Linked DNA regions of Macaca fascicularis. The protein of the gene in region 3 purifies or fractionates together with the protein of the main gene of each other region. This does not show direct contact. Links are inferred from orthologs where the notes say so. Each region holds a gene or a part of one and is shown on either strand. Other genes may lie near its edges.

Region 1 (3,659 bases), on a different chromosome or scaffold from region 3:
TGTGAAATCTCTCTTTCAGCACCACTTGACATTTTAAGTGTCCAAATCACTGTCGTATTTTGTAATGAATTTAAAAACAAAAAAACCACTTTTTTTTTTTTTTTTTTTAGTTCCTTCAAGTAGGGACTGAAGGAACACGATTCTCAACAGCTGTTGCCTGTTCCCAATATCGTAGCTATATCACAATACTGGAGGGAAATAATTACTGTCACGCTGATAATAATTTTAAGTGGGCCAGGCGCGGTGGCTCAAGCCTGTAATCCCAGCACTTAGGGAGGCCAAGACGGACAGATCATGCCTTTTTTTTTTTTTTTTTGAGACAGTTTCACTCTATCGCCAGGCTGGAGTGCCGTGGTGCAATCTCGGCTCACTGCAACCTCCACCTCCCGGGTTCAAGCAATTCTGCTTCTGTCTCCCCAGTAGCTGGGACTACAGGCAGGCGCCACCATGCCCAGCTAATTTTTGTATTTTTAGTAGAGACGGAGTTTCACCATGTTGGCCAGGATGGTCTCGATTTCTTGACCTTGTGATCCGCCTGCCTCAGCTTCCCAAAGTGCTGGGTTTATTGTGATCCACCATGCCTGGCCAAAAAGTTTTTTGTTTGTTTGTTTTTTGAGAATGGGTCTCACTAAAGTTGCCCAGGATGAAGTGCGGCGGTGGCATGGTCATAGCTCACTGCAGCCTCAACCTCCTGGGATCAAGAGATCCATCTACGTCAGTCTCCCAAGGAGTTGGGACCACTGGCACACGCCACACCATGCCTGGTTAATTTTTTTTTTTTTTTTTTTTGGTAGAGACGGTGTTTTACTATATTGCCAGGCTGATCTCAAACTCCTAGGTTTAAGCAATCCTCCCACCTTGCCCTCCAAAAGTGCTGGGGTTACAGCTCTCTCAGTGGCTGCCACCCAAGCCTCTGCTTAACTCCTATTTCTCACCTTATCCCTCTGTTCTGGTCCCTACCTAAGTGCGCCAGCTCTAGTTAACAGTAGGAGGGTGCTTGGCTGACAGGAGAATATAGATTCGCCTAGGCCTATTAAGTGCTGATCTCCCCAATACCCTCAAAGATCAGAAAATCAAAATTACTGTATCATCTAATTACTGTATCATCTCTTATAAAAAGAATATCTACACAAATCACTAGGTTTCTTGCCTATTTCCAGAAAGCATTTTAATAAAAAAGATCTACTGAAATGCAATGAAAGTTCTAAAATAAGACCTTCTGAATTACTCGATGACAAATTCATTTTACATTGATTTATACATTAATAAAAAAAGGCCTATAGCCGGTTTGCCTTAGTTGGTTTTAATTATAAATACTCAGACCACCGTTTTGAACTGCCAAAAAAGTTCCTGTAAGACATGATTTAATGTATGTTCATCACTGCGAATCCGGTGAATTCAGTCTCTCTGCAAAAATATCCTAGTTACAAATAATTATTTGTAGTTGCACATTAGCAATTAGTACTTAAATGTGACCATGAAATACGAGTTTGTGGTAGAACCTAAACATATATTACCTTAAATTCCAATAATCTGTCCTCTGCACACTAATTATCAGCCCTATACTATGAAAAGGAGCCAATTGGGCCTGGTGTGGGGTGGCTCATGCCTGTAATCCCAGCACTTTGGGAGGCCGAGGCAGGCGGATCACTTGAGGTCAGAGTTCGAGACCAGCCTGACCAGCATGGTGAAACCCTGTCTCCACTAAAACACAAAAATTAGCTGGGCATGGTGGTGGGCACCTGTAATCTCAGCTACTTGGGAGGTCAAGGCAGGATAGGCAATAGACTGAGACTCCCTCTCAAAAAATAAAAAAGAAAAAGAAAAAGAAAAGCAGTCTATTTTCTAAAATAGGGTACATGTAAAAGCCATATAACATACTCTACTTTAGAAAACTCAAAATGTAAAAATTTGGACTCATTCATAAAAGATTTCCTTTTGTAGTAACTCTTCTAAACATATCAACTCTTCTAAACATGAGGGTGTAAACATATAAAGTGATGCTACAGCAATACAAACAAAACTCCTTCTCTTTTTTTTTTTTTTTTTTTTTGTGGGGGAACTGGGTCTTGCTTTATCGTCCAGGCTGGAGTGCAGTAGCATAATCTCAACTCACTGCAACCTCCACCTCCCAAGTCCAAGAGATTCTCTTGTCTCAGCCTCCTGAGTAGCTGGGACTACAGGCACATGCCACCACACCTGGCTAATTTTTGTATTTTTAGTAGAGACAGGGTTTCACCATGTTGGCCAGGCTGGTCTTGAACTCCCAACCTCAGGTTGCCTGCCCGCCTTGGCCTCCCAAAGTGTTGGGATTACGGATGTGAGCCACCATGCCCAGTCAAAACTCTCTATTTCTTCAGAAAAGTTAAGCCTCATGTTTAAGTCACAGGCAACTGAAAAGGAACCAGAGTTGGTGATAATGTATTTCCATGCAACCCAATGGAAAAATGTTTTAATCAAAATTCAATTTACAGAATTTGGCCGGGTGCGGTGGCTCACGCTTGTAATTCCATCGCCAACCTGGGAGGCTAAGGTTGGTGGATTACTTGAGGTCAGAAATTCCAGGGCAGTCTGGCCAATATGGTGAAACCCCGTCTCTACTAAAAATACAAAAATTAGCCGGGTGTGTGATGTGCACCTGTAGTCCCAGCTACTCGGGTGACTGAGGCAGGAGAATTGCTTGAACCCGGGAAGCGGAAGTTGCAGTGAGTCGAGATGACACCATTGCACTCCAGCCGGGGTGTCACAGCGAGACTCTAGCTCAAAAACAAGAAAAAAAATTCAATTTACAGAATTTAATCCGTTGGTTTCAATCCGAGTTTACAACTCTGTGTTTATTCTACACAAACATTCTAAGGGGCAACGAGGATAGAGCTGTGACCACCTTTCTTTGTTACAAAGCATGCATTCTTTTGAACATGCCACTAATTAAATATTTCATTGGAAATGCCTGAAATAATTTTTTCAACATAAACTGACTTAATAGCTATTATCTCACCTGTCTTATCTTGTTTGCTTTGAAAATAGCTAAATTTTGATAGGCTTTAACATTACCTGAAATGAAAACCAATGACTCCCTTGCCCTCCATTCAACCACACAAATCCAAGCTCAGAAAAACGATCTTGGGCAGATCTTTCTTTTACTCGACTGTGGATTCACATAGAGATTGGGCTAATTTTGAATGTGTCTTTAAAATATATTTTTTTCTGGGCAAAATTTTAACAGTAATAGGTACTCTAAATTCCCAAAACCCTAAAAACAAAGAATGAAATGTAACTACTACGGCACATGGATATATAAGTTGTTAGGCGCATACTGTTATAGCAATTTCAGAAAGCAGAGCAGAGAGGTTACTTGTTTCTGCTGTTGAGCTTTCCTTAGGGCCTCAAGTCTCTTTTCTTTCAGGCGTTCCAATTCATCCTCATCCATCTGATCCAGTTTTTGAATTTCAGAATCCAAATGTTCTTCCACTAGTTTGGTTGTCTGAAGCAGCTGATTCTCCAGGACTTTGGAAAACATGTCAACAGATGCATCAGCTTCCATTCTGCCGAATGGTGCAAAGTTCAGCCTGGGTGCTGGGGAGATTTACAAACTATATTTTAAAAAATGCAAACAATAAGCCAGCTTTTCTCTACCATTTTCTTTTTTTTTTTGAGAT
Region 2 (3,659 bases), on a different chromosome or scaffold from region 3:
TTCACCTCCAGTCCGTTTAAAAAAAAAGAAAGATGGGCTCTTACTGTCACCCAGGCTAGAATGCAGTGGCATGATCATAACCTTGAACTCCTGAGTTCAAGCCACTCTCCTGCCTCGGCCTCCCCAGTAGCTAGGACTCCTGGCCTCAAGTGATCCTCCCACCTCAGCCTCCCAAGTTGCTGGGAATATAGCATGCACAGAGAGTCTGTTATGTTAGCCATGGACATATTTGATATAAACATGTGCTGTTAATCATCAATTTTTCTTGTGCTTCAGTGTTCATCATACTCATTATTTAGTTCAAAACGGTAGACCTGAATTTATACTTAGTATTGTTCCAATTTAAGTTTCCTACAGAGATGCTTTTGGGTATTTACAATTAAAAGCAATTCAACTTTATCATAAACTTGGGATTGAAAACTGCTGCGAGTTTTAAGGCACTTAAATTGTTTTACAAAGATGGAGGGCAAAATTTTTCTCCAGGGATGTTTTCCCCAGCCATCTGCTATTTAGGTTCACACAAAACATCTAATTAAAACACATTTTCAACGTTCCATACTTAGAGACAAAAAGCTAAAAATCTGATCCTATGTATTCAACTTCTTACGATCCAAACAATGGTTAACAATCTTTTTCCAGGAAATAGGTTTCAAAAGTAATGGAAAACACTTTAAAAAAAACAAACAAAAAAACAAACCAAAACCAACAACCCAAATATGTAAGACATCAGTTTGAGTGGCTGATAAAAGTCTTTACCGAGTAAAAACAGCATGGTCCTTCTGATCTAACACAATGATAATATCGCCTGGCTCCAATCCTGGTTCTTGGTCTCCTTCACCATGGAATGTTATCTTCTGGCCATCTTTCATGCCTAAAAACATTAGTTTTATACTCTTATTAAATATCCAACTAAGGTCAGAATCATACAATGTATACATAAATGTTTATGTGTAAAAATCACAGAAATGACTAAGAAAGCCCACTTAAGTAGTTCAGTCCAATTTGCTCCTGAAAAAAGATATCACAGTGGAGAACACAAACTCTAGAGGCAAAGAGACCAGCCTTCAAATCTCAGAGCTGCTATTCACTGGCTGGATTACCCTGGGGAAGCTGCATATCCTTTCCAAGTTTCAACTTTCCCACAGACACCTACACCTCATTAGCAATGTTGAGAGTATTAACTAAACAGGTATATGCTGGTACTAAACCATGACTGGCAAACACTGGTTATAACCAAAAAATATTAACTATTTCAATTTCATTACTTACAACACATCAAATTACTTCTATTAAGTCTAACAGCAATGTAAATCAAAACCCTTCTCTCTATTGTAGTATTTATATATAAAACAAAAAATTTTAAATCTATCTTTTCTTGAGATAGGATCTTGCTCTGTTCTGTTGTCTAGGCTGGAGTGCAGTGGCACAAACATGGCTCACTGCAGCCTCCATCTCCTGGGCTCAAGTGATCCTCCCACCTCAGCCTCCCGAGTAGCTGGGGACCAGCTTTAAAAAAATTTTTTTTTTAAATAGAGACAGGGGTTCTCATGTCGCTCAGGCTAGTCTTGAACTACTGGGCTCAAGGGATCCTCCTGTCTCAGCCTCCTATAGTGTTACGATTACAGACCTGAGCCGGTGCCTGAAAATCCATATTTTTTAAGAACTATTCAGTATAGTCCCCTTAAAAAAACGGTAACTACCTTTTGGGAGGCAGAGTCAGGAGGATACCCTGAGGACAGCACCCTGGAGCGCAGGAGTTCAGCCCTTGCGTCATTTAAATTAAAACAAGCAAACAAAACAATCAGCGCTAGACCCTCCCTTAGCCCATGTGGTCCATAAAACACAGGGAGAGGAGTATTTTCTAACAGGGCAAAAAATTCTTAAACATGTTTTTTTTTTTTTTTTTTTTTTTTTACTGAGACTTCCCTACCCCTCACCTCTGACCCACATATTTTAGTTCAGTAAGGGTTTGGACAACAACTCTTACAACGTAACTCATGTAAGAAAACCTGTGTTTGTAGAGTGTTACACTGAAGCAGTTATCTCCTGATTATTTCCCAAGATCACTCTGGTTACCTAACAGAACAATCGTGTTTCCCCTTTTAGTATGGAAAATATTAATCCTGTATAAAAAGAGCCAACAATACAATGAATTCCTACATATCCATCCAATTTAGCTTCAGCAGTTTCTAACTCATGACTAATATTTCATGTATTATACCCCTACCCATGGCCCCCACATATACTTTCAAGTAAACTCCAACCACATCCATTAACCCACAAATACTTCAGTATGTACCTCTTAAATAAGGACTTAAAAGCACTATCATTATCATACACTGACAAAATTAAACAATCTGTCTTTAATCGTGTATTGAGGCAAAATAACTTGTTATGCTAGCTAGGGAAGCAAACTCAGCTAGGTTTTCCTGAATGAAGAGCAAGGGTAGGCATAGCACTAATGCCTTCACTTGCTGAGGGCATTAATTTCAAGTTCTCACTTAGAGTTCACTGTTGATAGGTTCTTTCCCCCTCGGCTGTGTTACAGTGACATGACATTATTTGAGGACCTGCATGACATTATTCGAGGTCATTCTGCTAGAAGTCTCAGTTTCCAAGAACCTATCAACAACGTTAAGACTTACTCTATAAGCTACTGGTATCAAGAACACCTCAAAGTATAAACCCCAGGCATGGGCCCACTAAGCGGGAAACACATTAAGTTCAACAGCTGGCCAAGAAAACTTATTTTTACCTTTCAATGTACTACATTCTTGGGTGGAAAACCCTGGGGGTCAGAGAGGCCAGTATAATGAGTCACATGATAGAATCCTATTGCAGCCACTTATGTTAATGTAGATTTGTATATTAACAGTTCCAGATTGGTATCATACCATAGTACAGTATAATAGCAGACCCATTTAAAAACAGCAAAATCTGAAAACAGATTACCATAATGTTGATTTAAGTTTCCTTCTGGGGTTACATACATTTCTTAAAATTTCTGCAATGTACTGCCGTAATACATTTTAAAAGGTTTTTGTAAGTTGACAAGAGTAAAATTTAAAAACTGACAAATCAAATCCCCCCCACCCCCCCAAAAAAAGGTTATATATTGGCTGGGCGCGGTGGCTCAAGCCTGTAATCCCAGCACTTTGGGAGGCCGAGACGGGCGGATCACGAGGTCAGGAGATCGAGACCATCCTGGTTAACACGGTGAAACCCCGTCTCTACTAAAAAATACAAAAAATTAGCCGGGCGCGGTGGTGGGCGCCTGTAGTCCCAGCTACTCGGGAGGCTGAGGCAGGAGAATGGCGTGAACCCGGGAGGCGGAGCTTGCAGTGAGCTGAGATCCGGCCACTGCACTCCAGCCCGGGCGACAGAGCGAGACTCTGTCTCAAAAAAAAAAAAAAAAAAAAAAAAAAGGTTATATATTTATTTCTAAATCTGGAGCCCAACAGGTAGAGAAGTGTCAAGTCTAAAAAAAAGGAAAAGTAGTCTAAATTCTTTCAAATCAATTAACGGAGCATTTAAATACAACAGATGGGCAAGTAAGCCAATTAAGTGGGCCAATACGTTTATTTAAACAAGTCCAGGTCAGGTATGGTGGCACACACCTGTAGTCCCAGCTACCTGGGAGGTTGAGGTAGGAGAATCGC
Region 3 (2,176 bases):
CACCATTTTATGTTAGTTACATAAGATCCAGCAGCCAACCAGATTTTGGTTATGTGTTACCAACTTTCAACTCTAAAAAGTACTGGCAGTTTAAATAACTTTATTATAATAATGAGGTAAAAACTTAAGAATAGTATGAGCCGGGAACAGTGGTTCACACCTGTAATCCCAGCACTTTGGGAGGCCGAGGCGAGCGGATCACTGGAAGTCAGGAGTTTGAGACCAGCCTGACCATCATGGTGAAACCCAGTCTCCACTAAAAATACAAAAATTAGATTGGTGGTGGATGCCTATAATCCCAGCTACTTGGGAGGCTGAGGCAGGAGAAGCTCTTGAACCCAGGAGATGGAGGTTGCAGTGAGCCCAGATCACACCACTGCACTCCAGCCTGGGCAACAGAGCAAGACTCCATCTCACAAAAAAAAAAAAAAGAAAAAAAGTACGTGATGCTCTGTGATGGTAATCTTTAGATATACATTTTATGTTTCACAAATAAAAGTTTTAAATTCCTAAGATACTTTAAAACACAAACGTCACGTCATAGGATATGTATAAACCACAGGCAACACTTATTCTTTATTCTCAATGCACTAAATAAAATTTCAGACACCCAGATAGAAAACACAGGACTGAATTCATTTAAGACAGGGAATACTTTATTCAAAACCCATCACAGAAATGGACAGCTTGGGTCTGTAACAAAGCATTCATGTTTTAGAGCATAGGTCAGTAATTGTATATAAGAGCATACACTGCTACATACAAATTAACTGAGCAGACCACAACTTTTCAACGTTTAAAACAGAATAAGCTTCCCTGTAAAAGCAGCACCTTTGTGACATTTTAACTTTAGTATTCCTCTCCTTCTTCCTCACCCTCTCCTTCAACAGAATCCACACCAACCTCCTCATAATCCTTCTCAAGGGCAGCCATGTCTTCACGGGCCTCTGAAAACTCGCCTTCCTCCATCCCCTCACCCACATACCAGTGAACAAAGGCACGCTTGGCATACATCAGGTCAAACTTGTGGTCCAGGCGAGCCCAGGCCTCAGCAATGGCTGTGGTGTTGCTCAGCATGCACACAGCTCTCTGAACCTTGGCCAGGTCTCCACCAGGCACCACAGTGGGAGGCTGGTAGTTGATGCCAACCTTGAAGCCAGTGGGGCACCAATCCACAAACTGGATGGTACGCTTGGTCTTGATGGTGGCAATGGCAGCATTGACATCTTTGGGAACCACATCACCACGGTACAACAGGCAGCAAGCCATGTATTTACCATGGCGAGGGTCACATTTCACCATCTGGTTGGCTGGCTCAAAGCAAGCATTGGTGATCTCTGCTACAGAAAGCTGTTCATGGTAGGCTTTCTCAGCAGAGATGACAGGGGCGTATGTGGCCAGAGGGAAGTGGATGCGGGGGTAGGGCACCAGGTTGGTCTGGAATTCTGTCAGGTCAACATTCAGGGCTCCATCAAATCTCAGGGAAGCAGTGATGGAGGACACAATTTGACCTATTAACCTATTCAGGTTAGTATAGGTTGGACGCTCAATATCAAGGTTTCTACGACAGATGTCATAGATGGCCTCATTGTCTACCATGAAGGCACAATCAGAGTGCTCCAGGGTGGTGTGGGTGGTGAGGATGGAGTTGTAGGGCTCAACTACAGCTGTGGAAACCTGGGGCGCTGGGTAAATGGAGAACTCCAGCTTGGACTTCTTGCCATAATCAACTGAGAGACGTTCCATGAGCAGGGAGGTGAACCCAGAACCAGTTCCCCCACCAAAGCTGTGGAAAACCAAGAAGCCCTGAAGACCGGTGCACTGGTCAGCCTATTACAAAAGAGAGAAACAGAGGAAAGGTTAAGTTTTTGTTCTTTGTAGTACAATCATAGGAAATATATTTTCACTTTTCATACATCTCCCAGGATTTAGATCTTATTTTGACAAATGCTTTTTAAAAAATTCTCATTAACATTTACAAAATGATACCAAATAGTTCATTTTAACTGATAAAAACCCCACAAGAACGACTCATTCCACTCTTTATTAAAATAACAGTTCAATTCTGTTTGAAAAAAAAAAAAAGCAGTATTTCAAATGTGTTCTTTAGGCTCATTAATTTACTTTATTCTTGAAAAGAAACATACCAGCTTACGAATTCGGTCCAACACAAGGT

Evidence for each region.
Region 1: the proteins of tubulin alpha-1A chain (region 3) and TXNDC9 purify together in Homo sapiens (affinity purification with mass spectrometry; 3 studies listed by BioGRID and IntAct, counting the BioPlex papers as one, with this or other methods). This does not show direct contact. The link is inferred for Macaca fascicularis from reciprocal best matches to the Homo sapiens genes TUBA1A and TXNDC9.
Region 2: the proteins of tubulin alpha-1A chain (region 3) and DNAJA1 purify together in Homo sapiens (affinity purification with mass spectrometry; 3 studies listed by BioGRID and IntAct, with this or other methods). This does not show direct contact. The link is inferred for Macaca fascicularis from reciprocal best matches to the Homo sapiens genes TUBA1A and DNAJA1.

Annotation. Positions count from the first base shown.
Region 1 is NC_088387.1:3,825,387-3,829,045, forward strand, and holds part of TXNDC9 (thioredoxin domain-containing protein 9), read right to left. Parts: intron 3,577-3,659; 5' UTR 3,545-3,576; coding exon 3,356-3,544; intron 1-3,355. UniProt on the Homo sapiens protein: Significantly diminishes the chaperonin TCP1 complex ATPase activity, thus negatively impacts protein folding, including that of actin or tubulin.
Region 2 is NC_088389.1:66,045,985-66,049,643, forward strand, and holds part of DNAJA1 (dnaJ homolog subfamily A member 1), read right to left. Parts: intron 872-3,659; coding exon 757-871; intron 1-756.
Region 3 is NC_088385.1:55,999,588-56,001,763, forward strand, and holds the end of tubulin alpha-1A chain, read right to left. Parts: coding exon 2,148-2,176; intron 1,831-2,147; coding exon 850-1,830; 3' UTR 639-849; downstream 1-638. UniProt on the Homo sapiens protein: Tubulin is the major constituent of microtubules, a cylinder consisting of laterally associated linear protofilaments composed of alpha- and beta-tubulin heterodimers.